4 linked regions of the Pelodiscus sinensis genome follow. The protein of the gene in region 1 interacts with the protein of each later gene in a pairwise test. Links are inferred from orthologs where the notes say so. Each region holds a gene or a part of one and is shown in the gene's direction. Other genes may lie near its edges.

Region 1 (7,828 bases):
ATCCCCCACCCAGACCCCTCCCCTGCCCCCCACATTCTCCAGCCCCCTACCCAGCCCCCTACATCTCCCACCCAGCTCACTTCCCTGCCCCACACATCCCCCAACCCCTGCCTAGCCCCGCACGCTCCGGTACCTGCCCGGCTCGGCTCCCGCGGCTCCGCTCGCCCCATCCCGCTGCCGCTGACGCAGCGTCCAACCCGCGGCGCCTCCCTCCGCCCCCCCGCAGCCGGGGATGGAGAAACGTGGGGGGGGGAGGCCGGGGAGAGAGACGGCGGTGCCCCTCACTGTCCCCACAGTCCCCCACCAGTGCCCCTCACTCCCTCCGCACCCCCGTGCCCTTCACTCCCCCCACGCCCCACCCACCAGTGCCGCTCACTCCCCCCGCAGCCCCTTACCAGTGCCCCTCACTCCCCCCCGCACCGCCCCGTGCCCCCACTCTCCCCGCACCCCACCCTCCAGTGCCCCTTACTCCCTCCGCACCCCCACACCAGTACCCCTCATTCCCCCTGCAGCTCCTCATCAGTGCCCCTCACTCCCCCCCGCACCCCACCCATCAGTGCCCCTCACTCCCCCTGCAGCCCCTCACCAGTGCCCCCATTCCCCCCACCCCGCCCCGCCCCGTGCCCCTCACACCAGTCCCTCTCACTCCCCCCCGGCAGCCCCTCACCAGTGCCCCTCATTCCCCCCCGCACCGCCCCGCGCCCCTCACTCCCCCCGCACCCCACACTCCAGTGCCCCTCACTCCCCCCACACGCTCGTGCCCTTCACTCCCCCCGCACTCCACACACCACTGCCTCTCACTCCCCCTGCAGCCCCTCACCAGTGCCCCTCACTCCTCTCGCACCCCACACACCAGTGCCCCTCACTCCCCCCCGCATCCTCCCCAGTGCCACTCACTCCCCCTGCAGCTCCCCCACCAGTGCCTCTCACTCCCCCCCAAAACCCTCTCACCAATGCCCTTCACTCCCCCCAACTGCAGCCCTCATACCAGTATCCCTCACTCCCCCTTGCAATCTCCAATTGATGCCCTCCACATCCCCGTACCAGTATCCCATCACTCCCTCCACAGCACGCCCCACCAGTGCCCTTTACTCCCACACCCACAGCACCTCCATTGGTGCCCCTCACTCCCCCCACAGCTCCTCCACTGGTGCCCTTCACTCCTGACTCACAGATCCCCCACCCCCAGTGCTCTTCCCGACTTGCACCCTCCCCACCCAGCTGCTGCCCTTCACTGCCACCCCACAATAGGCGGAGAACTGTATTTGATCATCCCAGGAATCCCCAGAGCCTGCGAACTGGCCTGCGAGGGGGGCATCATGTGTCCCTGTTTCCTGGACCATGAACCCTATTTTTCCAGAGTCAAAGACCAAGCAGGGCAGGAGACCACACCCTGTGTTGCTGTAACAGCTCTTACAGCACCCACCACCAAATACTGAGATACAGCCACCTCTGGGCATGGGGAGTGGCCAGTTTCACCAGGACCCTTCACCTGGAGCTGAGATACAGCCACCTCTGAAGGTCTGTGTTTGGTCACAGAGGGTATGTCTACACTACATGGCTCCGTTGATGGAGCCATGTAGTGTAGATATACCCAGAGGGACAACTCGCCTAGGCTGAGATGTGGCCACAGATGGGGCAGGACAGCTGGTTACACAGGGAACCCTCACCCAGGGCTGAGATGCAGCCACCTCTGGGGCACAAGGGGACCCCTCGCCTGGAGCTGGAATGTGGCCCTCTCTGGAGTGGGTGGTTGGTCACATAGGGACCCCTCCCCCAGCACTGAGATGCAGTTACTTGTGGGGCGGGAGGGATGGTTACACAGGGACACCTGGCCTGGCACTTATACATGGCCACCTGTGGGGTGGGGCATCTGGTTACAAGAGAACCTCCCGGTTGGAGCTGAGATGTGGCATCTTAGTGCTGGGAAGTCGTTTACACAGGAATATCTTGTCAGGCACTGAGGTTCCGTCTAGGCGACGTGGGTTTTCCGTGATATCCTGGAAAAACTCTGCTGCATCCAGGGAATGTGTCTGCTCTTCCGCTTTTTTTTTTTCAGAAGAGCACATACACTCTTTCAGAAGCCCTGTCTTCCTCATTCTATGGGCTCTTCCAAAATAGGTTTTTCTGAAATTTGGCCCACTGTGGATGGGCCAAATTTTGGAAAAGCCTCTTCCAACAAAACTATCAGAAAAAGGTATGCAAATTGCAGAGTGCAATTTGCATACCCTTTTCTAATAAAACATTGTAGTCTAAAAGTAGCCTGAGATGTGGGGGTGGCTGGTTATCTGGGGCTGAGATGTGGCCACCTGTGGGATGGAACTGTCATAAGAATGGTCAGACTGGGTCAGACCAAAGGTCCATCTAGCCCAGGATCATATCTTCCAATAGTGGCCAGTGGCAGGTGCCCCAGAGGGAATGAATAGAACAGGGAATCATCAAGTGATTCAGCCCTTGTTGCCCATTCCCAGCTTCTGGCAAATAGAGGCTAGGGACACTGGCTAATAAGTATGCTCCATGATTTTATCTGACTCTTTTCTGATCCCTGTTAAAGTCCTGAGCTTCACAACATCCAGTGGCAAGGAGTTCCACAGATTGACTATGTGTTGTGTGAAGAAATACTTCCTTTTGTTTGTTTTAAACCTGCTACCTATTAATTTCATTTGGTGACCCCTCATTCAGTCTCATGTTGTGAGAACAAGTAGATAACTTTTCCTTATTCACTTTCTTCACACCAGTGGATTTTATAAATCTCTATCATATCCCACCTTAGTCTCCTCTTTTCTGTCAGTTACACAGTAACCTCTCATTTAGCACTGAGATGCAGTCACCTCATGAGTGGGGTGGCCGGTTACACAGGAACAACTCTCCCAGCACTGAGATGTTGCCACTTCTGGGGCAGAGGAGGGGGTTACACATGGCCACTTTGCTTGGGACTGAGATGTGGCTACCTCTGGAGTGGGGCAGCCTGTTACACAGGGACACCTCCATGGTGGTGAGAGGCAGCCACTTCTAGGGCATAACAGATGGTTACCAGGGGGCCAACTCTTGTGTGGGGTGGCCTATTACACAGGAACTCCTCGCCCAGCGCTAAGATGCAGCCACCTCTGGGGTGGGGTGGCTGATTTCACAAGGACCTCTTGCCTGGTGTTGGGATGCAGCCACCTCTGGGGTGGGATGGCCAGTTGCATAAGGTCCCCTTACCTGAGTAAGTTTCTGTCTCCTAGAATCTAGGTGGGCTTGGCATGGCCAGTGGCATGGAGGGGAGGTGCTTTCCCCTCATTCACCAGCAGGAGGAAGCAGCATCTTTCAAGCTTGTGACAATTTCCTGCTGGTGTATGTGTGTAAAAACAAGGCAGAGTCCTGTGGTACCTTAAGTACTAACAGATTTATGTGGGCATCAGCTTTCATGGGTAGAGCCCACTTCATGAGGTGCATAGAATGGAAAAATAGAGGCAGGGATATATACAGATGAACTAGCACATCAAAAGAAGGGAGTTTGGGTACTCTACACAACCTGCTTATTTTGGAATAACTGTACAGTGTAGACTCATCCTTCGTTATCAAGTGTAAGACCAGTGTTAAAGAGGCCAGTTCAGTCTGGGTTGATGTGCTCAGTCCCAGCAGCTGATGGGGAAGCTGTGAATATGGAGGGAGAAAATTGCCTTTGTAGTAGGAGAACCATTCTAAGTCCTTATTCACTTCTAATTTGATCCTTACATTTGCAAATGAATTTTGCAGCTGTGCTGTTTCTCTTTGTAGTCTGCTTCTGCAGTTTTTTTGGTAGAAGGATGCTACTTTTAAATCTGTTACTGAGCATCCAGGGAGATTAACATATTCTAAGGGTTTTTGTATGTTACCTTGCTTTGTGATCCATTTGAGTCCATTTAACCTTTGGCACATTTGTGTAGATGTATGGACAGAGTTGGCAACAGGGTTTGTTGCAGGGATAAGTTCTTGTGTTAAGGGGCCAGGCAAAATGCAGGAGGGAAGGGGTTAGCAGGGCAGTGGCAGGGAAGGGGTTAACGGGGCCAGGGCTGTTATCGAGGGGAAGGGAACCACCAGGCCCTGCACCCCCATCCACAGCCAGATGTGACTCAGATGGCAGGTAGAAGAGAAGATTTATTAGGTGACAGGGACACAGCACAGAACAGACTTGTCAGCACAGGAACCAGAAGCAGCCAGCACCATCCATCTGGGGAGAGGAGGCTCAGAGCCAAGGGCTCCCATTCCCTTCCTAGCACCCCAAGCCAGCGAGACTCGCTCACACCCTCAGCAGCCTGTATCAGCCCTGTAGTCTGACGCGCCTCCAGCTTTTGGTCGGCTTCTTCGGACAAAGGGCGTGACCTGGTCACACCCCCGTCCCAGGCTCAGGTTGCAGAAAGTATCAGCTATTGTGTTCGTGGGGGAGGCTGTCACCGAAATTCCCATCGTCTAGATATTGGTGTAGTGCCCAGAGAAACTGAGGCACACGAGGGCTTAGTACAGCACAGTAGAAATCACGTGCAACAAAGCAATCGGGTGACTACAATCTCCACTTTGTTACAGGGGTTGTGGCAGTGAAGGGGCTAATGGGGCGGGGGGGCTGCAGCAGGGAAGGGGTAACGGGGTGGGGGTTGCGGCAGGGAGAGTGTTAAAGGGGCGGGGAGAGGGGGCAGGCCGAGGCGGTGCTGGGGGCGGGGAGATGCAGCGGGACGCTTGCCGCGGGGCGGGCAGGCCGGGGCGCTGCAGCACTGAAGGGAAGAGAAAGGAAAGGAAGGGGCGGGGCGGGAATGGGGCGCTGCAGCAGGAAGGGGTTAACGGGGCGGGGGGGGGGAGCAGTCAGCTGGTCGGGGCGGGGGCCGGACTTCCTGGAGCGGGGACTTGTCAACAGGCGGCGGCGCTGGCCGGAGTTGGGGCGGGGGGTGCTCCCCGGGCACAGAAGAGAGAATCCAGACCCCCTGCCGGAAAAGTGCGCCCTCCACCCCCGGGCACCTTGCAGCCCCCCCTGCCCCCAGCACGCGCCCAACTTAAGGGAACTTTCCAGTGCTGCCCCCAGCACGGTGGGGGCCTAGGGGCGGGGATGCCAGCAGCCCCCCCCCAAACCGCCCCCCTTCCTGGGAGTGTGCTCCTCATGACCTGTAACCTGCCCCAGGACCCTTGACCTCCAGGCGAGCTAGCACCCCAGGGGCTGCCCTGCCTGCCCCTGGTGGTGCCCCCTTTGCCCAGCTGCCCGCAGGCATGTCACCGCCCCGAGAGCCTGGTGCTGGCCCGGTGCTGCCTAGGCCCCGCTGAGCTGGCGCGGGAGCAGGACCATGAGCAGAAAGAAGAGCAGTTTCCAGATCACCAGCATCACCACTGAGTACGAACAGCAGGAGGCGCCACCCGCCATGGAGCTGCCAGAGGATGCAACCGTGCCCAGAAACGGGCCCTCGGTGCCACCCGGCAGCACCGCTGCCTCCCGCTTCCGGGTGGTGAAGCTGGACCAGGGCCTTGGGGAGCCATATAAACGGGGACGCTGGACCTGCCTGGATTTCTACGACCGGGACCCGGAGCACCAGGTGGTGGGGCGGCTCCTGGCCGCTGCCCGGCACCCGCAGTCTCTTGACTCCCGCCTGGAGCTTGCTGGGTTGGCCCCCAAGCCCCATGGCTACTTCAGCCCCCCGCTGGCGCGTTGGGGCGGACATGGCCACTCCCAGGGCACAGCCTGGCCCACGCTGCCTGGCGAGCACCTGCCCCGCTCGCTGGGAGGTGGGGAGAGAACTCCAGGGGGCAGAGCTCAGAGTGATGGGGCCAGTGCTGAGCCTGGGGAATCGGGCGTGGGGGTGGAAGAGCTGCTGCTGCCCCAGAGCCTCGCCCAGCGCATCCGGAGGGAGGTGGAGGAGAGGCACAAGGTAAAGGGGGCCAGATGCCTGGGTTTCATGGGACCACGGAGACCCACGTGGTAGAAAGCCACCCCACAGGCCCATCTAACCTTGTATCTGGCCCTTTGCATCAGCCTGTGGGCTAGTCCAGTCTTGACTCTACCTGCCCCTCGCCGATCAGATCCCCAGTGGAAATCCTGCAGTAGGTAGTCCTGTGGGTTAATTCTGAACCATATTAGGAGCCATGTCTCCCCTGCACCAGATAGGTGGGGTCTCCACTAGGATACCCTCCCCAGAGGGTAGGGGGATTGACAAGCATTTGGTGAGGAGGTGGAGGGTTGTTGGTGCGCATGGGGTAGTAAACGGGTGGTGGCTGGAGAGGGAGGAGATAGCAGTGGTGGGACAGCTCCTTGCACACCTGGCTCCATCTCTTCCCTTTGGACCTGCAATCACCCTGATTCCAATGACCTCCTACCACTTGGGGCTGCATCAGCCTGCAGAACTCCCCACCACTGGATGCTGGCTGGGCTGACAGTTCGGCTGGGGGTAATGGAAGTTAATGGGGTAAGGTTTGAGGGCCACCTTCTCCTGTGCTGTGATATAGTGAGGTGCATTGCAGAAATTTCCTCTGAAAGCATCTGGCATTGGAGGTGGGTTCAGGCCGACTGGGCCATGGGTCTGATGGAGGAACCCCTAGCCAGTTCAGCCCCACAAAGTAGAGGCAGACCCACAGATATCTCATGAATCTAACCTTTTGTCCCAGAGAGACATTCCTTCAGCAGGATGTATGGTCCAGGGAAGGGGGGTCAGGTTCTGGGCCCTGACACCTCCCCGGCTGCCTCCTCCTTTCTCATCACCATGACGGAAAAGGGGTGATTTTCATCTGCCCACTGCCCCCCAGGCTCTGGTGGGCAGGGAAAGAATGGAAGGAACCCAGGCATTCAGGCCCCATTGCAGCTGCCCAATGCTGTCCTTGGGATGCGGAGCCATTGGCAGCATCCACTGAAGCATGTGGGGGCAAGGGAGGATGCCTGGGTCCCTTCTGCTCCACCTTGTTCATTGGCCTCTCTCCATTATGATGTCTCCTCTACAGGTTCCACTGCGAAGCTCCCGCCCCTCCTCCCCAGCCCTCCCCTTGTTTCGGGAAGGGAGCCCTGTTCGAAAAGCGTCGGACCCTTTTGGTGCACGTCTCAGCCTGGCCCGATCTATGTTTGCCATGGGGGGACACCAGGACAGCGATGATGACAGGTGAGGTGGGACTTCCTGCCCAGTGTGCCTGGTGGAGGGTGGGACTTCCTGTTTTGCCAGTGAATGGTCGGGGGAGGGGGAGTGCTGGGACGATTGGTGAAGGGGCTGCCATGTGGTGGAGCAGTATGCGGGGACTGAATGGGACAGAGGGAGATGCAAGCAGTAGAAGAGGAAGGAAGCTGGGGGAGGGGAAGTTGCATTTGAATGGCTGGCAGCGGATGTGACTCAGTTGTATTGCCTGCACTGGGGAAGTTGGGGGCAGGATCCTGGCAGTGGGAGAGGGGATGGTGTGGGGCCCACAGGCCTGGGGGGAGGAACAGGGAGGGATCCTGGCAATGGGCCAGGCTGGCGGCAGGCCTGTGTGTGTGTGTGCTTGTGTAAATCATAGAAATACTCCAATAGCAAACCATTGCCACGTTCCTTCTAGTAGACTCTACAATAACAAACTACAGGTTGAACCTCTCTAGTCCTGCACTTTTGGGACCTGACTGGTGCCGAACCAGAGAATTTTCCAAACAATAGGAGGTCAATATTATCTAGCAGCATCACCAACACTTCCCCTGCTTACTGGGCTCTTAGAAGATATTTAGAGGCAAATTAGAACTAAATAACAGCACCGAACACAGAGAGCCAGGACTGGTGGCTGTAAATAAACTGTATGGGACTGTGGGAAACTTGGCCACACGCATAAGAGGACATCTGACTAACTAAAATCATGCCTGATTAGAGAGTGCCAG
Region 2 (6,947 bases), on another chromosome or scaffold:
GGTCTTTCAGGCGGCTTTAGACGTAGCTGATTCAGCTGCATGGACAATGGCACCAGTTGTTATGCGATGGACTGTATGGCTAAACGTGTCGGGCATTCCACCCGATGTGCAAACCTCCCTTCAGGACTTGCCCTTTGAAGGAGCGGATCTTTTTTCATATCAAACGGACTCCAAACTGCATAGTCTGAATGATTCCCGGGCAACTCTTAAGTCTCTGGGAATCCATACGCCCGGTCCACTTAGGCGACCCCTCAACCCCAAGCCTGCTACAAGGCAATTTCAGCGGGGTTTTACCTATGACCGCAGCAGAAGGCAGGGCCGTAATTTTTTTTAGAAATAACCCGCCTACAAACCGGCGCAGAGCTTCTAGACCAACTTAAGATAAGGGCCCCACTACGTATGCGGGTCAGTGCCCCAAATCACCATTTTGAGGGCACGATCGAGGATAGCATACCAGTCACGTCTTCTTCCCCCCCCTTTGGTTTTCATTTATCCCGTTTCCACCAAGCCTGGGTATCTATAACATCAGACCAGTGGATTCTCAGCCTGGTGGCATGGGGCTATTCTATCCCCTTTACTTCCCCTCTGCCCCCATCTCCTCCCCACTCCCCTTCCTCCCTTTTCAGGGACCCCCCTCTCACAAAACACTGCTGAGGGAGGAGGTGGTGAAGCTCCTGAATCTCGGGGCAGTGGAGCCCGTCCCGGACGAGTTATGGGGGAGGGGGTTTTACTCCCATTATTTCCTTGCACCAAAGGCAAAAGGGGGATTTCATCCTATTCTAGACCTCAGAGGACTAAATACATTTATAAAGAAGACAATGTTCAAAATGGTCACTCTAGCATCAATTATTCCCTCCCTACAAAAAGGAGACTGGTTTGCTGCCCTCGATTTGAAATTTGCATATTTCCACGTCATGGTGTTGCCCTCCCACAGGAAGTTCTTGCGGTTCACAGTAGCCCAGGACCACTTTCAGTTTACAGTCCTACCCTTCGGACTCACCACAGCGCCAAGGGTCTTTACCAAATGTATGGTCCCGGTGGCAGCTGCATTGAGACGCCACGGGGTATAAGTCTTCCCTTACCTGGATGACTGGTTGATTCGTGGCTCATCTCAGGACCAGGTAGCCACACACGTTTCCAGGAGCCTATTCCTGCAGTTGGGCCTTATACTGAACAAGGAGGAGTCCATGATGGTCCCCTCCCAGACTATAGAGTTTGTAGCAACGTTCCTGGATTCCACCACAGGAACAGCATCCTTGCCCATGCACAGGTTCCAGACTATGCAGGCAATGATCAGGGACCTTCACATTTTTCCAATGACCACCACGCGCAACTGCATGCGCCTGTTTATTTAAGAAGTACTAATAATCTTTAACTCAAAATAGAAATATGAGACCAACTGCCTCATACTGCAAAACTACCAATATTAAAAACTCGAGTTTTATTATTATTTTTCATTGTTTTTTCCTAGGTTGATGGGACCCTCAGATAACTGGAATTTTTAGATAACCGGAACACCCTAATCCCCGATGAGCGTGCCAGATAACACAGGTTTTACTGTATTCCAAGCCACTCAGTAGGAAGCTAGATAGGCCTCCCTTCCTCACTCTCAAATAGCAGATGATTCAGTATCTTACTTGGACTTTACTTCAAGGCAAATTCCTTATTCAGATAAGACAATTTGGCATCAGACTATGTGATTTGAGGGAGGTTGGGATGAGCAACACAGTGTATTGGGATGAGCAACACATCCCCCTTCGCTGGCCTTTCTGATGACATACATTGGGACAAATATCTATTTGTCTCAAACCAAGATATGTATAGGACACAGTCCAAACAATTCTAGAATAAACACACCATTTCCCAGAGGTTACCTAACTGCTCCAGTAGGTGCTGATTTTAGGGATGTAAAAACCCATTAAAATAGTTAACTGATTAAACAATTAAAATTACAGTGCTTAAACAATTAATCATTGCATCACAGGTGACACCTGTTGCAGCCTTCATGAATAGGGTCCTGCCGGTTGAGCTACTATGCCACAGGGGTGGAATGTGGGGCTGTTCCTGTCCACTGTGCAGAGGGTGGGTGTGCTGCAGGCAGGGGGGCTGCTCCGGCCCATCCTGCAATGGCTGTGGGCAGAGGGCTTCTCCGGACCACTCTGCTTCAGCTAGGGTCCAGCCAGCCTATTGCAGCCACAGGCAGAGTCCAGCTGTGGTCCTGCTGTGGGCAAAGGGCTGCTCTGGACAGGCCATTTATGCAGTTACTGGGTAAGCAGGTCGATAAGACTACTGCTTCTTTTTCTGAACCCATTTTTTCTGCTGCTTCTTTTTCTGAACCAATTTTTCCCCATATGGGGAAGCTGTACGTTCACTGTATTCCAACAGGATTGAAGACATGTTCCTTAATTTTCTTGCCCTTTTAACAGCTGTACTTTTACTTTTCCTCTATGGAAACAAATTATGAATCTTGCATATAAAAAAGGGGACGAACTGAATGTATTCTGGCTGTACTGTAAAGTGACAATTACAGAACCCAGTGACAGGCACTTGGGAGATGGAAAGAGACCTATTGTTTCCTCTAATGCAGCTTGTAGCTATGAGCCTTGTGCAGCCCACAGGGGTTTATATGTATGGCCCATGAGAAATTGTGTTTACAGCTGCCCATGCACAGGGTTGCTAGATTCCAGTGGTATGTGTGCATCACTTTTTTCCTATTGGTATTACTGAAGTGGCATACACATAAAGGGCACATAAAATGATGTTTGTGCTTATTGCACACAGCATTGACTAGAGAGCTGTGCACTCCCTTTGCATCCAGTCAAAGTGCTGCTATAAATTATAAATTAGGTCATCCCACAAATTCTAAGTACACAAGTGCAGATAGCAAATCTACCCTATTCCAAGGGACCATCTTGGTAAAACAATCTTGCAACCCACTCAGATGAATGAGCATCACTCATGCAATCCGCTCACTAGCTTAGGTTGCCCAGCACTGTTTTAATCCATCCCCGAAGGACCAATAATATTGTTAACATTTGCATTTAGAACATTTAAGGTTTGGAAGTTGCCAGGAACAGCCCCTCCACCATCACTTTCCTTTAATCTCCTTCTATAGCCCAATACATGTCCCTCTAAAGAAATTCAACCCCACCAGCCTGAGTGGTCTGCTCATTTTCATTGCACATTTGCATTACTGCCAATTGCACCGTCTTCTCTATGCCGAACAGCTCCTTTCCCCCCTCCAGCGGATAAAACTTTTCAACCACGTGTAGACTGCATGGACTGAAACACCAGGAAGAAATAAAGGCATCCCAGCCACAGCATGGTGTTGAATCTCTGCCCATCCTAATAGCTATTGGTGGACCTGTCCTGCGGGAACCTTTCTTGAGCGGTAACAGCTAATTGACACACCGAGGTTTTGCAGGCATCGTTGAGATTGTTTTCCAGCTGCGTTACTTTTCATTTACCGTACAGCCTCAGCTGGCTGGCTCTGACACACACACACACTCCCATAAACTGGAAAGCCGCCCTTAATTTCAATTCCTGGGGAAAACACCGGCCCCAGCGCCGGGGATCACACGTTAGGCGGCAGCTGCCCGCGCTTAACGTTTGCTTTGAGAAACATGGGGGATTCCCCGGGGTGGGGAGGGACTCGAGTCCCAGCCCCCCCCCCCCCAGCACGCGCAGGGGATTGCAGCCGTGCAGGGTCCGGGCGTGTTTGCACTTTCGAACCTCCGCGTCCCTCGCGGTGTAGCGCACGGCCCGCTCGGGGGGGGGGGGGGGGCGGGGAGTCAGGGCACGCGCTGCCCCTTCCCACACAGCTGGTCGGCGCGGCGCCCCCGCGAACGCTCAGGTCCCAGCGCAACCCCGACCGCTTCGCCAAGCCCGCCAAGACAGAAAGTTACTGCGCCTGCGCCCAAGGGCGGCGGTTCCGGGAGGGAGGAGCGGCGGCGCTTGCGGGAAGTGCCGCCATTGGGCAGCGCCTGTGCTTCGGCGCGAACGCTCGGGGCGGCGCGCGCCTATGAGGCGGCGCGCGGGCAGCGCCTGATTTGAAGCGGGCGGCGGGGACGCGGTACCGCCGCGCCATGGCCAAGCAGCTGAGCCGGGAGCAGGGCATCACCCTGCGGGGCAGCGCCGAGATCGTGGCCGAGTTCTTCTGTGAGTCGGCGGCCGGGCGGCTCCGGGCCGCCGCACTGGGGGCGATGAACCGAGCGCGGGGGGAGGGAGCCTGGGGGCCGCGGAGGGGCCTGGGGGCCGCGTCTCTGCCGAGCGCTCCGCTTTGTGTAACGGGGCGGGATGCCGGGGGCGGGCTCTCTACTCGGGGAGTCCCGTGACGAAGCCGCCTCTCCTGCCTTTCAGCTTTCGGCATCAACAGCATTTTGTACCAGCGCGGGGTCTACCCCTCGGAGACCTTCACGCGCGTGCAGAAGTACGGGCTCACCCTGCTGGTAACCACAGACCCGGACCTGAAAAACTACCTCAACAACGTGGTGGAGCAGCTGAAAGGTAGCGCAGAGCCAAGCCACCGAAATGGGCGCTCGCTTTGATCTCCTGTATCTTCGGCGCCTGGCATAGGTCAAAGCTGTCACGAGTCTCGAGTGCGACATGCATAGGAACTGTGTGATAGTCCATGTTTGTTTATATTTACCCATCCTATTTATATATGTTGGGGAGAGTCTTATTTTGGGAGACCTGGAGAGGGTCCAGCGTAGGGCAACCAAAATGATTAGGGGGCTGGAGCATATGACTTATGAGGAGAGGCTGAGGGAGTTGGGTCTGTTTAGTCTGCAGAAGAGAAGAGTGAGGGGGGATTTGATAGCAGCCTTCCAACTTCCTGAAGAGAGGTTCCAAAGAGGATGGAGAGAGGCTGTTCTCAGTAGTGACAGATGGCAGAACAAGGAGCAATGGTCTCAAGTTGTGGTGGGAGAGGTCCAGTTGGATATTAGGAAAAACTATTTCACTAGGAGGGTGGTGAAGCACTGGAATGGGTTACCTAGGGAAGTAGTGGAATCTCCATCCCTAGAGGTGTTTAAGTCTCGGCTTGACAAAGCCCTGGCTGGGTTGATATAGTTGGGATTGGTCCTGTCTAGAGCAGGGGCTGGACTTGATGACCTTCTAGGTCTCTTCCAGCTCTATGGTTCTATGATTCTATCCAGTCCTCACTAAGGCAAAGTAGTTTCTTGCCCTTCAGTGCTCAAATGTGAATTTCTTAAACAGGTTACATTCTCTTAGTATGTATGTTCAGCTTGCCTATTTACATAGCCAATGTCTGTTGTGTTTTTATATTTCTGAATTCGCTATTTAGTTGTGAAGTGAACGTATACTTTAAGGTTTGTCACTAACTTATTTAGGATGTTGACTCCACATTAACAGCTTTTCCACAGTGAAACTACTAGTGCAGATAGTAATGTGAGATTTAATGACAGCTCTCTTTTTTTTTATATATATATATGTGTGTGTGTGTGTGTAGTAGAGTGATCTCCGTTATCTGACTGTAGGGAAATTTTTATTTTTCTTATTTCAGATTGGTTATACAAATGTTCAGTACAACGGCTGGTTGTAGTGATCTCTAGCATTGAAAGCAGTGAGGTTCTTGAAAGGTGGCAGTTTGATATTGAATGTGACAAGACTGCAAAGGATGAAAGGTAATGCACTCAAAATTACACTTGGGCCCATGAATGCTAAATATACTATTTATATATTTTTGTCAGTTTCTAAGGTGCTACAAGACCATTGTTTGTTTGTTTTTTTCAAAATTACACTGTTATAAATCCTTCCTGTTGGTTCATGCTAGTAGTCGATTAGATGCGAGTGTTAAAGGCCCTTTGTATTTATAGGCTGTGCTGCAACATTTAAAAAACACTCAGGTGCAGAGAGAATACACCAGAGCAGAAATCTTTCACAGCATTGTATAGTTTTCAGTTTGCTGGTAATTAACTAGTGTGCTTCATTCTAAATCAAATGAAAAACTTTTGATCTCAGCTGAATATATAACTCCCATTTACTTTAAAAGAAGCTGTATATGAAAGATAGAATTTTCCCCCTTTTTTAAAAAAATTTATTGTATAAAGCTGTTATTTTCTTCAGCAACTATTTCAGACTTCAAGGTAGTATTGATTGCTACTATTCTCCTAAATTTCTCATATTGAGAAGCAATTACTTTGGTAGCAGTATTATCCCATAAACCAGTTCTCAAGGAAATCAAGACAGAGGCTGGTAGTCTTAACATTGTGAGGTCTCATGGAAGAACAATGAATCAAAATCATAAGCTGTCATTTTGGTTATATTTTTCCAAACCTTGATCATCCACTTTGTATTTCACTACATAGTATTTGTCCATTTGAGAGAGGGGGGGGGAGCGCGGGGGGTGTGTGTGTGTGTGTGAAGGAAAATTGTCTCTATTGTATAGCAAGAACAGCTTTTAAACAATTTAATGAAGAGATGTAGATACAGAGAAATTTTCTGTTATAACAAAAGCTTTTTTCTATATTGACAACTTATTACTCATGTAGTGTACCAAGAGAGAAATCTCAGAAAGCTATCCAGGAGGAAATTCGATCTGTTATCAGACAAATAACTGCCACTGTAACATTTCTTCCTTTGCTGGAAACAGCCTGTGAGTATTCCAGACTTTTGTGTGATTAATGGAACACTAACAACTCTAGAAGAAAATGTCTTTTAAACTTGAATTGGAACTTTAATCTAAAGGAGACAGCTACCTTTTTAACTATGAACGGTATACTGTTCATGCAGACTTGAATGACAAATCTATATCAAAATGAAGGATTTAAAAAAAGACACCTAATCACGTCCATTTCTTCTGCAATTTTGTAAAACATTCTGGCTACATCTACACTGCAGGCTTTTTGCATGAGAACTGTTTTGCGCATGAGCATGTCCACGCTGCCATGTGCTTTTGCGCAAGAGCATCCATGGCAGTGTGAACA
Region 3 (7,165 bases), on another chromosome or scaffold:
CGGAAGGGGAAGAATCTTGTGCTTCTGCCGTGCAGTTGTACCCTGTGCGCTATAGAGGCTGCTTCTAGGACAGCGGAGTCACATGCCAGTCACACAGCTGGGCGGTGGGTCTGTGTAGCAGCTGCTTCTCCTGAGCTGGCCCCACCAAATTATTTGTATTGTTTGGCTTAAATTCTAGGCCCAGAGCTAAAACTCTCCTGCCTCTGGTTAACAGGTGTTTCCTCTCTCTCCCCATTGCTTCCCAGTACTCCAATGTGTACTGTACCACGCCTAAAATCCAGGATCTGGTGGATGATAAATGCCTCCAAGAAGAATGTCTCTCTTACGTCACCAAACAAGGTACAGCAGGCCTGAACCGGGCGCATGTGAGAAGAGTGTGCTGGCCCAGGATATGCCGGCAGAGATCTAGGAGGGACTGAGAGCCTGTGCTGAGCCGTGGGGTTCCTTCTCCCTAGGTTTTGCTCACGCAGGGACTTGGAGGTTAACCCAGGCTGATTAACATGTCAATGCTCTGACAAAGGGGTTGAGTGGTGTAGCAGGGATGGCTGGGAGGAACTTCAAGGGGAGCTAACCAGGCTCAGTATCCCAGCCACGTAACCTACAGAGCACAACGAGGCTGCTCTGTAGTTCTGTGGGCGCCGTGGGAATGGCCTCGAGGAGCCTAGAGCGAGGCCAGGTCCTGTCCCTCTCCAGGGCAGCCTCTTCCTTCGCGCAATCCCTGTTCTGTCTTGAGGAACGGCAGCGGTCTCTCTCTTCCCCACAGGCCACAAGCGAGCCAGTCTCAGAGACGTCTTCCAGCTCTACTGCGGGCTGAGCCCCGGCACGACCGTGCGAGACCTCATCTGCCGCTACACCCTGCAGCTCCAGAGAGTGGAGGAAAGGTCAGAGGCTGCTAAGGAGGGGGCCCTGGAAGTGTGGATGAATGCCAGGGGTGCAGTGATACGGGCAGCCAGGGGCTTGGTAGCAGGGCTAGCTCAGGGCGTTCCCCTCAGTATCATTCACCCGTCTTTACTCATGGGGAAACTGAGGCACTGCAGCAGGGTGACTGGCCCAGGGTGTCACAGTGAAACTGCAGCAGAGGCAGGAGCAGAGCCCAGGTCTCCTGACTTTGCTCCTTGCTCTAGCAGCTTCCTTGTTCAGAATCCTACTGTGATTTCGGTTCACTTCCTGCCAGCCCAGCAGCCCCAGCTGGGTCATGTCGTCAGGCCCTTCTCTTCAACCTGTAGCCCCCAAGCCTGCTGGCAGGCCGCCCGTTCAGCCTTCTGGCTTGGCTCAAGCGGCAGGAGAGGCTGGGCGGGGGCTGAGCTCCCATGCGGCAGGTGAATGGTTTCCCGGGCCGGCAGCCCTTCTGAGAGCAGTGCGTTCCCCCCTCAGGAAGCTCATCCAGTTCGGTTTGATGAAGGGCCTGATCCGCCGGCTCCAGAAGTACCCTGTGAAGATAGTGCGGGACGAGAAGAGTCACCCGGCACGACTGTACACGGGCTGTCACAGCTACGATGAGATCTGCTGTAAAACAGGTACCGGCGCCCGGCTGTGCAGCCAGAGGGGAGAGCCCAGGGATGGCTCAGCAGCAGGGGAGGGGTGTTCGTTCAAGGGCTGTAAGCAGGGGCGGCCCGTGAGCCTGGGCAGCCTAGGCAGTAGCCTAGGGTGCCGCCGGCCTGGGGCACCTGATGATGACATCACGGCCATGCAGGCAGGGGTGCCGATCGCAACTTGCTCCTGGGGCGCCAGCTGCCGCAGCCGGCCTCAGGCCACTCCTGGCCGTAAGGCTCGCTACCCTGATTTGCATTGGCCCTCAGAGCCAGGGTCAGGGCCCCATTGCCTTCGGCTCTGTGCTGCTGTGGGAGTTGCAGCAATATGCAGGAATTGCCAGGCACTGGACAAACCTACCGGATCAAATGAAATAACTGGCAGCCATTGCCTAGCTTGGCCTCGTAACAAACCCAGCCGAGAGCCGTTTCCCATCCCTGCTGCAGCCTGATGGTGGGAGCTTAGCCCCAGAAGAGGATCCGGCGAAGCAGATCCTTTCAGAACCCATTGGATATTTGTGTTCCTCTCCCTTTGAGTCCTGTTGAAACAGCAAAACCCTGGAGCGTTGGCAGTAGGGTCGCTGCTGTTCGAAGGCAGCGCTGCACACGGCGAATAGATGCCTGCAGCCCGGAGCGGATGCAGAACAAACAGTTCTGCCGTGTGCTAGAAAGAGCAGCTCCTGGCCGTCTCTGCGAGGCCCAATGGAAAGGGCTGTGCTGCAGAGGGAGGGGATTGGAGAGCTGAGCACCTCAGGAGGGGACTGGATGAGAGTTTTTCCCTCTGGAGACTTGGATTTAAGAGTGGGTACCCCCCACGTACAGCACGAATGCGGTGGGCTCAGATCCCCGCTGAATGAATGGCTGCCCACATCTCGGCTACAGGAAAACTACCGTTCGCAGTGCACACGTTCCTGGTACCACCGCCAATGGCGAAATCCCCAAATACTAGCCGCTGCGGCTCCAGGCCCCGCAAGGAGCTCTCTGCAGCTCCCAAACTCACTGCAGGGGTTGGGAGCCATGGGGAACTCAGCTGTGGCTCCTGATAGCCGTGGGGAACCAGGGCCGGGAGCTGTGATGAGTTCCCTGCCGCTCCTGGCCTCTGCCATCCCCCACCCGCGCCAGGCCAGGCCAGCCCCGAGAATACACGGAACTGTGAACAATGATTCTGCAAGTCATGAGAGTCTCCCGTACTGGACTGTTGGTGTGCTGGAGCGTCTGCTTGGGAGCAGCCTAAGAGAAGGGTTGGCAAGGTGACGGTGCAGGAGGGGATGCCTGAGCCAGTGCGATTACCGGCTGTACTAGCGAGACAGGGAAGGGCTAAAACGGAAATGGAAGACCACGTGCTGGGCGTCGGGGGGAGGCGTTGTAGGGGAAGGCTGCAGTCAGTGAGTGTGCTGGAGGTGAGGATCAGGCGAGATTGGTGAAGTAGGACGGGGAACACTGGCATAGTGCCAGTCTCCATGGCCTCTTGCTTTTGTCTGACATGGCCATTGACATAGAAGTGATAATCGCCGAGCTAGCCAGGATCACACCGTAGGGCCAGATCTCTGGTTCAGCCCTGCTTTCCGGTGACCAGGCTGGGAGAAGCAAACTCCAGAATCGGTGGTTTAACTTGGGCCAGGCTTCAGATCAAAGCAAGTCTACAGGAGCTCTCAATCCGGCACGATCCAGATGTTCTGCTGTGAGCAAGTCACTTCGCCTTGGTGCCTGCCTCGCCCTATGGGTGGTAACAGTGACTTGCATTAGTGCCAAAGATGGGCTGGTTCTGACACCGTTGCTCTCTGCTTCTCCCTCAGGCATGAGCTACCGAGAGCTGGACGAGAGGCTGGAGAACGATCCCAACATCATTGTTTGCTGGAAGTGAATCTCTCTTGGGACGGGGACAGGCAGCGTCCTGCCGCGTGGAGAGAAGAACACGGGGGCTGGAAGGCGGAGCTGGTCACCGCTTGGAGATGGCTCCAAGAGCCCAGACTGTGGCTCTTTCAAGTGACTGGGCTCCTGTGGGGGAGAGGGGGGTGGCGTATTTCCGCTAACGCTGCTCGGAGAGCAATTGCATTGCTCCACAATAGCAAAGCATGGCTCTGGCATCTCAGTGCAAAGCGTGTGCGAGCCAGCTGGCTTCTGCCACGTGCCGCTGGTATCATCGGTTCCACGGTGTCTGGGCCAGCCTTGGTCGCGCACGAACTCGTCACTGCTGTCATGGGAATTGGAAGGTGTTCAGTTGGGGCGCAGAGACCCCCACGTGGGGACCAGCCTGAGTCTGTGTGTTACAGGGAAGGGGGGTGGTTTCCACTCTCAGAAGCACGGATTGTTTTGCCTTCTCTGTCCCTAGCCGCTTTCCCCGCAGCCCAGTGAGGCTGCCCCGATCCAGCAGCAGAGGGGGCTGTGGGAGCGGAGTAGCCGGGTTCGGTAAAGGGGGCTCCGGGAGAGGAGTGAGTCAGTGGCAATAAAACTGATCCAATGGCCTTTGAAGCGTCGGTGCATTCCCAGCGCGGTGGCGGATGGAAAGTGGGGGCGGGGCGAGGGCTGGGCGGGGGGAGGCGCTGCCCCGCTCTCAGGCACTTTTCCAAGTGGGAGCCTGGCCTAGATTGTTTCAGAGCTGGGGGCGGGTAGCTCCTGTGCCCCTCCCCCCGCCGCGGGGGTGAGCGGGGCGTGGCCGGGGTGGGGATGCTCCTGCGGCAGCCACCCCCGAGTGTCGGCTGGAGAGTTTGACTGCAAGCCCCGCCCTCCCCGCGCGCTGCCAGGCAAGGGGCGGGGCCCTGGGACTCGGCTCGCGGGGCGGAGCCGGGCGCGCGCTGGCCCCGCCCAGGCCGGCGCCCGGTCTCCATGGCGACGCGTGGGCCATGGCGGAGGCGGCCGCGCTGCTGCTGCCCGGCGAGGCCGAGGCGCTGGTGCAGGCGCTGCGGAGCGGCCCGCTGCGGGACACCGGGGGCCAGGGGTGCGAGCCGGGGGCGGGGGAGTCCCGGGAGGGGGGAGCCCTGGGGACGGGGGAGTCCCGGGGGGGGGGCTGCTCCTCGGGGTCGGGGGAGTCCCGGGAGGGGGGGGGCTGCTCCTCGGGGTCGGGGGAGTCCCGGGGGCGGGGGAGTCCCGGGAGGGGGGGGCTGCTCCTCGGGGGCGGGGGAGTCCCGGGAGGGGGGCTGCTCCTCGGGGGCGGGGGAGTCCCGGGAGGGGGGGGCTGCTCCTCGGGGGCGGGGGAGTCCCGGGAGGGGGGGAGTCCCGGGAGGGGGGGGCTGCTCCTCGGGGGCGGGGGAGTCCCGGGAGGGGGGGGCTGCTCCTCGGGGGCGGGGGAGTCCCGGGGGCGGGGGAGTCCCGGGAGGGGGGGGCTGCTCCTCGGGGGCGGGGGAGTCCCGGGAGGGGGGCTGCTCCTCGGGGGTGGGGGAGCCCCGGGGGGGTGCCCCATTCCCACTCTCTGGGGATCTGATGAGCAGCCTCCCGGGGGTCGGTCTGTCGGAGGGGGACCCGTGTCCCAGCTGGGTCCCAGGCAGGCCATGGCCAGGCGACACGGGCTCCCCTCTGCAGGTGGCTGCGGCAGCACGAGGCCCTGGAGAAGCTGAACATGCAGGCCATCCTGAGCGCCTCCACCGGCCAGGAGCAGCTCCTGCTCGAGCTGCTGGTGAGCCATGCCAAGGTGAGCCCCTGTGGGTGCTGGGGCACCACTGTGCACCCTGGGCACGAGGGAAGCTCCACAAGCCCATCCCCCTACAGTGCCTGGGCCAAGTGAGCTCTTGCCTCTTTGCGGGGTGACTCCTCAGCCTGATTCACCCCTCAGTCAGGAAATGTGCCCTGCGCTGCAGTCCTGATTTTCTGTTGTCCAAAGCACTCCGTTGTACGAGCCTAATCAAGTTCTCTCTGTGCTTGGCATCTGCACTCTTCCATACTGCTCCCTGGGCCTCAGTCATTTAGCCACATTATAGATAGATTTTAAGTCCAGAAGGGACCACTCTTATCTCATCTGACATCCTGATTAAGGTAGGCCACTGTGATTCTTGCATCAAACCCATATCTCATGGCTGAGCTAGCACATATTGTTTAATTGTAAGTTAAAGACTTCAGGTCATGGGGAATCCACCACTTCTCTAGATAAATTGTTCCATCCTTTGGTAAAAATGCGTGCCTTATTTTCTAGTTTCAGTTTGTTACACCTTTGGCTCTTGTTCTCTCCTCCCTGCTCAGCCCCTGTGTTTCCTCCAGTTTGTCTACATTTTGGGTACAAAGGACCCCTGAACTGAATGCCAAATAGAGGTTTGGTTGCACCAGAGCAGACTGTTGCTAAACAAACTGGGTCTTGCTTATACAATCAAGGGCTGCACTTGGCTCCGATGTAACCCTGAAATCAGTGGAGCCTTACCTCAGTTACAAATTCGGTCCCTTTGAAATGTTGCTGCTATATTAGGAAATAGATTATTTGAACTCTGAATCCCTCCTTGCCCTGCACCAGATATGCTGTCCCATTTCACCCAATGGAAAGGTGGGGGCAGATACTGATTTCAGAAATGACTGTCAATGGATGAAGCAGATAGTCTGATGATGAGGCATATGAAAGTACCTAGATGATCAGTGCAACAAACCTGTGTGTCTCAGCATCCTCTTCTCTAGGACTAAAATACTCTTACGGCACTTGGCTTCTCTCTTCCTTTTCTCTTGCCTGATAGGTTTCACTTTCTGTGCTTTACTCCTCTGGCCAGGTCCCTATTCTCATTGAGGAATTGATCTCTGTGGAGATCTGGAAGCACAAGGTGTTCCCTGTGCTGTGCCAGCTGGAGGATTTCAAGCCAAAAAGCACCTTTCCCATCTACTTGGTGGTGAGTACAGAGAGCTCTTGGAGAACAAACTTGCACGATATTCTAGTGCACTGCCATGATCTAGGATGTCAGCATTGCATGGCACTTCTGCTCCAGCAGGCCTGCTTCACGAGACACCTTGTCCATAGCCCGTTAAGGCTTTCACTGCAGTAGCTGCACGTGAATCATTTTCACAGGCAAAACTCTCATTAATATTATACCCTTATTTACATAAGACCTTTCTTCTCAAGAATCCCAAAGAACTTAGAACATAAGAACAGCCGTACTGGGTCAGACCAAAGGTCCTTCTAGCCCAGTATCCTGTCTGCCGACAGTGGCCGGCACCAGGTGCCCCAGAGAGGGTGGACCGAAGACAATGATCAAGCGATTTGTCTCCCGCCATCTCTCTCCAGCCTCTGACAAACAGAGGCCAAGGACACCATTTTATCCCCTGGCTAATAGCCTTTTATGGACCTAATCTCCATGAATTTATCTAGCTTCTCTTTAAACTCTATTATAGTCCTAGCCTTCACAGCCTCCTCTGGCAAGGAGTTCCACAGGTTGACTACATGCTTTGACTACAAAGGATCACTCCTTCCCCCCCCCCTTCTGAAAGGTAGCCACCCATGTGGTGGAACATTGCAGCTGTTTAGCATATAAGAACACAACGTAAACTTAGGGAATGAGGAAGGATCTGCTATCCAGTTGAGATGACAGTGGAAATTTTGACAACCAATAGACTATGATCACCTCTCCTAGACTTTGGCCAGGGCACTGGGGTAACTGCTGCCCCTTTAAAACCAGCCATAGAACCATGAATGACCAAAAGTTCTCAGGGCTGTGATCTTACATGTC
Region 4 (7,353 bases), on another chromosome or scaffold:
AGTCCGGCACTCCTGATAGTCTGGCATCAAAATGGCAAGAGCCTAGTGAGTGAGCTTCGGCAAAAAATGAGTCACAAGGTAACAACGGCAGCAGCTGAACTGAGCAAAAAGGGTATAAAAGGGTTAAAAAAACTAAAACATTACAGTATACTGTATACAGTATGTACAATAAAAAGGGTTAAGAACACTTTATATACAGTATATACTGTATACAGTATATACACAACCAGCTTATAGTACCTCCTGATACTCCGGCATATCTGATAATCCGGCACCACCTTGGTCCCATAGGTTCTGGATTATCGGAAGTCTACTGTACATCCAATAAGTTCTTGGACTGCATTGGAGACAGTTTTTTATTCCAGAAGGTAGAGAAAGCTACTGGGGGGAAGCTGTTTTTGATTTGATTTTAACAAATAGGGAGGAACTGGCTTAAAATTTAAAAGTGGAAGGCAGCTTGGGTGAAAGTGATCATGAAATCATAAAGTTCATGATCCTAAGGAATGGTATAAGGGAGAACAGAAATATAAAGACAATGGATTTCAAGAAGGCAGATTAAGAACATAAGAACGGCCGTACTGGGTCAGACCAAAGGTCCATCTAGCCTAGTAGCCTGTCTGCCGACAGCGGTCAGCACCAGGTGCCCCAGAGAGGGTGGACCGAAGACAATGATCAGGCAATTTGTCTCCTGCCATCCTTCTCTAGCCTCTGACAAACAGAGGCCAGGGACACCATTTGTATCCCCTGGCTAATAGCCTTTTATGGACCTAACCTCCATGAAATTATCTAGCTTCTCTTTAAACTCTATTATAGTCCTAGCCTTCACAGCCTCCTCTGGCAAGGAGTTCCACAGGTTGACTACACGCTGAACTTTTTTTTATCTGCCCTCTCCACACCTCTCATGATTTTATAGACCTCTATTATATCCCCCCTCAGTCTCCTCTTTTCTAAAGTGAAAAGTCGCAGTCGCTTTAACCTCTCCTCATATAGGACCCGTTCCAAACCCCTAATTATTTTAGTTGCCCTTTTCTGAACCCTTTCCAAGGCCAAAATATCTTTTTTTGAGGTGAGGAGACCACATCTGTACACAGTATTCAAGATGTGGGCGTACCATAGTTTTATACAGGGACAGTAAGATATTCTGGGTCTTATTTTCTATCCCTTTCTTAATAATTCCTAGCATCCTATTTCCCTCTTTGACCACCGCTGCACAGTGTGTGGAAGTTTTCAGAGAACTATCCACGATAACTCCCAAGATCTCTTTCCTGATTTCTCATAGCCAAATTAGCCCCCATCATACTGTACCTATAGTTGGGGTTATTTTTCCCGATGTGCATTACTTTACACTTATCCACATTAAATTTCATTTGCCATTTTGTTACCCAATCACTCAGTTTGGTGAGATCTTTTTGGAGTCCCTCACAGTCTGCTTCTGTCTTGACTATCCTAAACAGTTTGGTATCATCCGCAAACTTTACTACCTCACTACTTACCCCTTTCTCCAGATCATTTATGAATAAATTGAAAAGGATTGGTCCTGGGACTGACCCTTGGGGGACACCACTAGTTACCCCTCTCCATTCTGAAAATTTACCATTTATTCCTACTCTTTGTTTCCTGTCTTTTAACCAGTTTTCAATCCAAGAAAGGACCTTTGCTCTTATCCCATGGCCATGTAATTTACACAAGAGCCTTTGGTGAGGGACCTTGTCACTTTCTGAAAATCTAAGTATAGTATATCTACTGGATCCCCCTTGTCTGCATGTTTAACCCCTTCAAAGAACTCTAGTAGATTAGTAAGACATGATTTCCTGTTACCAAAACCATGCTGACTTTTGTCCAACAAGTTATGTTCTTCTATGTGCCTCACAATTTTATTCTTTACTATTGTTTTGACTAATTTGCCTGGTACTGAAGTTAGACTTAATGGTGTGTAATTGCCAGGATTGCCTCTAGAGCCCTTTTTAAATATTGGTGTCTTGTTAGCTACCTTCCAGTCATTAGGTAAATAAATTAATGGAGATTGCTTATCTCCTAGAACTGGAAGGGACCTTGAAGGTCATCGAGTCCAGCCCCCTACCTTCACAGCAGGACAAAGTACCATCCCTGACAAACTTTTGCCCCAAATTGCCTCCACAAGGATTGAACTCACAACCCTGGGTTTAGCAGGCCAATGCTCAAACCACTGAGCTATCCCTCCCCCCAATACAGAACCTGATTTAAAGGATAGGTTACAAACCACAGATAAAAGCTTAGCAATTTCCCATTTGAGTTCTTTTAGAACCCTCGGATGAATGCCATCCGGTCCCGGAGATTTGTTAACATTAAGTTTTTCTATTTGTTCCAAAACCACCTCTAATGACACTTCAATCCGGGACAGTTCCTCAGATTCATCACCCACAAAGGATGGTGCAGATTTGGGAATCTCCCTAACGTCCTCAGTTAGCTCAGAGAGCTGGTAGGTAACATCCCATGGGAAGTAAGACTAAGGGGAAAAACAACTGAAGAGAGTTGGTGGTTTTTCAAAGGGATATTATTAAAGGACCAAAAGCAAACTATTCCACTGCATAGGAAAGATAGAAAGTATGGCAAGAGACTGCTGTGCCTTAGCCAGGAGATCTTGCATGATCTAAAAATCAAAGAGGAGTCGTATACAAGTGGAAACTAGATCAAATTACAAAGGATGAATATAAACAAATGAAAGTGTGTAGGAGTGAAATGAGAAAGGCAAAGGCAGAAAACGAGTTCAATCTAGCTAGAGACATAAAGGGTAACAAGAAGACATTCTACAAATATATTAGAAGCAAGAGCAACAAGAGTCCCCACTTGCTGCCTGTCTACACTGGCCGCGAGTTCTTGCGCAAGAACAGTGACGTTCTAATGTATGAAATCAGTGCTTCTTGCACAAGAACTATGATGCTCCCGCTCAGGAATAAGCCCTCTTGTGCAACTGTTCTTGCACAAGAGGCCAGTGTAGCCAGGCAACATGAATTTCCTGTGCAAGAAAGCCCTATGGTTAAAATGACAATCAGAGCTTTCTTGCGCAAGAGAGTGTCTACACGGTCAAGGATGCTCTTGCGCAAAAGCACATGCCAGGGTAGATGCTGTCTTCTGGAAGAGTTTTTGCACAAGAACTCTTCCGCGAAAGAGTTCTTGCGCAAAATCATGCCAGTGTAGACGTAGCCCTAGAGTCTAAGGGGGTCCATAAAATCCACTAACTCTGGAACCCCAGAAAAGTAAATCTGGCCTATGGGAAGTCTAAACCCCAGCCCTCCTTGTCCCTTCCCTTCAGCCTGTGGGGCTGGAATGCCAGAGGAGTGAGGTGTCTCAGTTGGGAGCACATCAGTGAGGGCGGAGGGGGAATTTGGATAAGGTTTTTGCTTCTCAATTGTGTGGTCTCCAATTTATTTTTCTGTGGGTCAGTGGCTCCTGACACAAAAAAGGAACCCCCACACCTGCCATATATAAAGAAAACATTGAAACCTTTTCCATTGGCTATGAATTAATATTTTATTTGATTTAAAATGAAGTATGATAAACTAATGTGGGAATGTTAAAGCGCTTAATCTGTTTAATAATTTAGATTTAACCAGTTTCCCTCCTTGTAGCACTTACAAAATGGCTTGGGTGTAATTATCTTATTAATAGTGAGTTTCCATTAGCAACTAATGGTCCACACAAAAGTTTACATTGAGCTAAGTGGTCTGTGTTGGGCCAAAAAGTTTGAAGCCCACTGGTCTAGCCCATCCCTGAGAGCTGTCTGTCCAACCTGCTCTTAAAACTTTCCACTGATGGAGAGTCCATCCCTGGTAACTAATTCCAGCCTTTCACCACCCTGGCAGCTAGGAAGTGTTTCCTAATGTCCAACCTAAACCTCCCTTGCTGCAACCTAAGGCCACTGCCTCGTGTCCCGTCCTCAGAGGCCAGGGAGAACAATTTCCCTCTTTCCTCCCCGCCCCCCCCAGGGGGTGCAAAGCCCCAAAGGACCCCAACTGGCCCCCTGCTGTGTGCAGGGGCCTCCGCCGCCCCCTCGTGCCGCTGCCGGAGAGGGGGAGGGGCAGGGGGCTGCCTGCCCCGCGGGCGGGGCTCTGTCCGCACCCCCGCCCGGGACCACCTGGGGGCGCCCCGCTGCAGCCAGGCTGGGTCCTGCCGCGGGGGCGGGGCGGGACTCGACGGCCGCTCGCGCGCGCGCGCGCCCTGTGACCGCCCCCGCCGCAGCGATGACGCGCCCTCTCCCCGGGGCCGCACGTCGGACCGCGCCGAGGCCCCGCCCCGCGCCGCACGTCAGACCGCGCCGAGGCCCCGCCCGCCTTCCGCCGGCCAAGGGGCGGGTCTGCGCGGCTGCCGTCCAATCGCGCGGCGGCGGCGGCGGCCCGGGCGTGCGCCATTGGCCCGGGCGGCCGGCCTCGAGCAGCAGGCTGCGTTGCGTCGCGTCGCGCGGCGGTTAGTGCCGCGGCTGTCGGCGACGAGAGCGCGAGGCCGGGCCCAGCCCGGTGAGTGTCAGCGGCTGGGGCGCTACGCGGGCCTCGTCCGGCCCGGGGAGGGCGGGGTCAGCCACGGGCCCGCGGCTGCAGAGCGCCGAGGAGGGGGCGGGGCGCTGGGTTCGGGGGGGCTGTGGGGAGGGCCGGGGGGGCGGGGCGCTGGGTTCGGGGGGGGCTGTGGGGAGGGGCGGGGCGCTGGGTTCGGGGGGGCTGTGGGGGGGGCGGGGCGCTGGGTTCGGGGGGGCTGTGGGGGGGGGGGGGCTGTGGTGGGGAGGGCCGGGAGCGGCGGGGTGCTGGGTTCGGGGGGGCTGTGGTGGGGAGGGCCGGGGGGGCGGGGCGCTGGGTTCGGGGGGGGCTGTGGGGAGGGGCGGGGCGCTGGGTTCGGGGGGGCTGTGGGGGGGGCGGGGCGCTGGGTTCGGGGGGGCTGTGGGGGGGAGGGCCGGGGTGGCTGTGGTGGGGGGGGCTGTGGTGGGGAGGGCCGGGGGGGGCGGGGCGCTGGGTTCGGGGGGGCTGTGGTGGGGAGGGCCGGGGGGGGCGGGGCGCTGGGTTCGGGGGTGGCTGTGGTGGGGAGGGCCGGGGGGGGCGGGGCGCTGGGTTCCGGGGGGGCTGTGGTGGGGGGGGCGGGGCGCTGGGTTCGGGGGGGGGCTGTGGTGAGGGGGGTGGGGCGCTGGGTTCGGGGGGGCTGTGGTGGGGAGGGCCGGGGGGGCGGGCCCTGGGTTCCGGGGGGGCTGTGGTGGGGGGGCGGGGCGCTGGGTTCTGGGGGGGCTGTGGTGGGGAGGGCCGGGGGGGCGGGGCGCTGGGTTCGGGGGGGGCTGTGGTGGGGCGGGGCGCTGGGTTCGGGGGGGGCTGTGGTGGGGCAGGGCGCTGGGTTCGGGGGGCCTGTGGTGGGGAGGGCCCGGGGGGGTGGGGCACTGGGTTCGGGGGGCCTGTGGTGGGGAGGGCCTGGGGGGGCGGGGCACTGGGTTCGGGGGTGCTGTGGTGGGGAGGGCCTGGGGGGGGCGGGGCACTGGGTTCGGGGGGCTGTGGTGGGGAGGGTCCGGGGGGGCGGGGCGCTGGATTCGAGGGGGCTGTGGTGGGGGGGGCCGGGCGCTGGGTTCGGGGGGGAAGGTCTCGGCCGGAGCTGGTGACCAGGCTGCAGGCTGGGCAGTATCTGACGCTCACCAGGTGGGACAAAGAGGACACATTATGGTAGCTGGAGCTTGAATGAGGAAGGAGCAATTGGTGCGTGGGGTCTGTGCCCATTAGCCATGGCCTAACTTGGGCACTTGCTGGGCGAGCCCTCCACCCCGCTGTTTTGACAATGCTTGTATAAATTAGCTACTTTTCCCTATAGCACACTCAGCCCCAAATCCCTCTCTTCATTCAGGCTTGTGGGTCTCTGGATCTACATAATTCTGCCCATGGTGCTGTTGGCTGGGTCCCAACCAACTTGTGCCAATGTGCAATATTAACTTTTTGTACATCTGGTAATGTTTAGAATAATGCAACTCTCTCAGCAACTAGATTTCTCCCTCGTAACCAGCTGCTTGCTGTTTAGCCTTTCCAGAAAGAAAGGTATGTGGAATAAATGGGAGAGAGGCGGGTCCTCCACACTGAATGACCCAAAATTATCTATAGGAGAATGGAAACAAACCAAATTGTTTGCACTCCAGTGGATGGATCAGTTTTCAGAAAGAATGTTCTCCCCAAGCTTTTGGGGTGTCTGCAGTACCTATGAACATGTGGGATGAGGTCACTAGTTGGGTCCAAAGCAGATAGGTGTTCAGCAGTTACACAGTTACGTGTGCCAGGCAGTGAGGGCGGCGTTCGGTTCCCCAGGAGCCAGTGTGCTCCAGGAACCGGCTTTTATACTGGCTCCCATCCGCCACCCTGTTCTTGAAGAGCTGGCCCGGGCCGCTGCCTCTGGTACAGGGTGAAGCAGGAGCCGCATGTAACTGTTTGGGTAGTTGATTATCGGTTGAAATGGCTACACTTTTACATCCTTAGTCAAGTCAAACTCTTCTTCCTGAGGGAGTTGACCTGAGCTGGAGTGGCTGTTCTTGGGAAATACCAGCTCAGCTCTGGGTGCTTAACTAGAGGTGGTATGTGAGTGTTGTCATGGTTTCTAGGTATTAGAATTGCATCTCACCATGTCTGAAGGAGAAGCCAAGCAGGTTCCCAGTAGTGGCTCAGACACAAAGCCAGAATCCACATCTTCTGGCCCAGGAATGACCTCCGTGTCCCCACCAGTGACTTCTACAGCTCCACCAGCGCCCCAAGAAGAGGAAGAGGAGGAGAGTGAAGATGAGTCTGAAATCCTTGAAGAATCCCCCTGTGGCCGGTGGCAAAAAAGACGTGAAGAGGTCAGTTCCCAGCAAATGACAGTGGGGCAGGGAACTTGTAATGATCTCTGTTGAGGGAATCAGACCTGAAAAATAGGGGGTCTGATGAGGATCAGAGGTGTGTGAGCTGGTGAAATTTTGTGCTTTTCATTTGAGTATAGGCAGAGTTTGGTGCTGGTATAGAGTTATCTACCCTGGAAGAAGAATGGGGGCATGAGGAAGCGTGGCCTTGATATGAGGAACTGCTCTGTGGTCTACTATCTAGACATGAACTAATCTGAGTAGCTCAGGTCATCCTGTCCTGTGTAGGATGTAAAATTTTGATTGATTGGCTAATTGAATAGTGACTATTCAATTAGTTGATAAGGGTGCCTCCGCCTTTGAAGTGTACCTACAGCTCCGTGGCAGTTGCCACTTCCAGGGCGAAAGCGCTCCATGCAGCACTACTGCTTTAAAGTACTCCTTCCTCTGATAGAGGCGTCAAGGAGGGGGGAAGCAACTAGTTGATTAGTGTTGATTGTCTGATAAGCGTTTACTTATTGGATAGTTGA

Evidence for each region.
Region 2: the proteins of TSC22D4 (region 1) and MAD2L1 interact in binary tests that used the Homo sapiens proteins (3 or more experiments, as listed by UniProt). The two-hybrid records come from large-scale screens. The link is inferred for Pelodiscus sinensis from reciprocal best matches to the Homo sapiens genes TSC22D4 and MAD2L1.
Region 3: the proteins of TSC22D4 (region 1) and ZMYND10 interact in binary tests that used the Homo sapiens proteins (3 or more experiments, as listed by UniProt). The two-hybrid records come from large-scale screens. The link is inferred for Pelodiscus sinensis from reciprocal best matches to the Homo sapiens genes TSC22D4 and ZMYND10.
Region 4: the proteins of TSC22D4 (region 1) and NRBP1 interact in binary tests that used the Homo sapiens proteins (3 or more experiments, as listed by UniProt). The link is inferred for Pelodiscus sinensis from reciprocal best matches to the Homo sapiens genes TSC22D4 and NRBP1.

The regions. Positions count from the first base shown.
Region 1 is NC_134734.1:8,743,873-8,751,700, forward strand, and holds the start of TSC22D4 (TSC22 domain family protein 4), read left to right. Parts: upstream 1-4,809; 5' UTR 4,810-5,294; coding exon 5,295-5,873; intron 5,874-6,936; coding exon 6,937-7,091; intron 7,092-7,828.
Region 2 is NC_134715.1:36,054,707-36,061,653, reverse strand, and holds the start of MAD2L1 (mitotic spindle assembly checkpoint protein MAD2A), read left to right. Parts: upstream 1-3,937; 5' UTR 3,938-4,085; coding exon 4,086-4,158; intron 4,159-4,359; coding exon 4,360-4,506; intron 4,507-5,524; coding exon 5,525-5,645; intron 5,646-6,512; coding exon 6,513-6,616; intron 6,617-6,947. UniProt on the Homo sapiens protein: Component of the spindle-assembly checkpoint that prevents the onset of anaphase until all chromosomes are properly aligned at the metaphase plate.
Region 3 is NC_134721.1:45,026,803-45,033,967, forward strand, and holds the start of ZMYND10 (zinc finger MYND domain-containing protein 10), read left to right. Parts: upstream 1-4,153; 5' UTR 4,154-4,372; coding exon 4,373-4,467; intron 4,468-5,048; coding exon 5,049-5,157; intron 5,158-6,214; coding exon 6,215-6,331; intron 6,332-7,165. Other genes in the region: GATOR1 complex protein NPRL2, read left to right, coding at 246-339, 764-881, 1,375-1,517, 3,326-3,393. UniProt on the Homo sapiens protein: Plays a role in axonemal structure organization and motility. Involved in axonemal pre-assembly of inner and outer dynein arms (IDA and ODA, respectively) for proper axoneme building for cilia motility.
Region 4 is NW_027465901.1:438,064-445,416, forward strand, and holds the start of NRBP1 (nuclear receptor-binding protein), read left to right. Parts: upstream 1-4,347; 5' UTR 4,348-4,493; intron 4,494-6,589; 5' UTR 6,590-6,610; coding exon 6,611-6,823; intron 6,824-7,353. UniProt on the Homo sapiens protein: Required for embryonic development. Plays a role in intestinal epithelial cell fate and proliferation, thereby involved in the architectural development of the intestine potentially via the regulation of Wnt-responsive genes.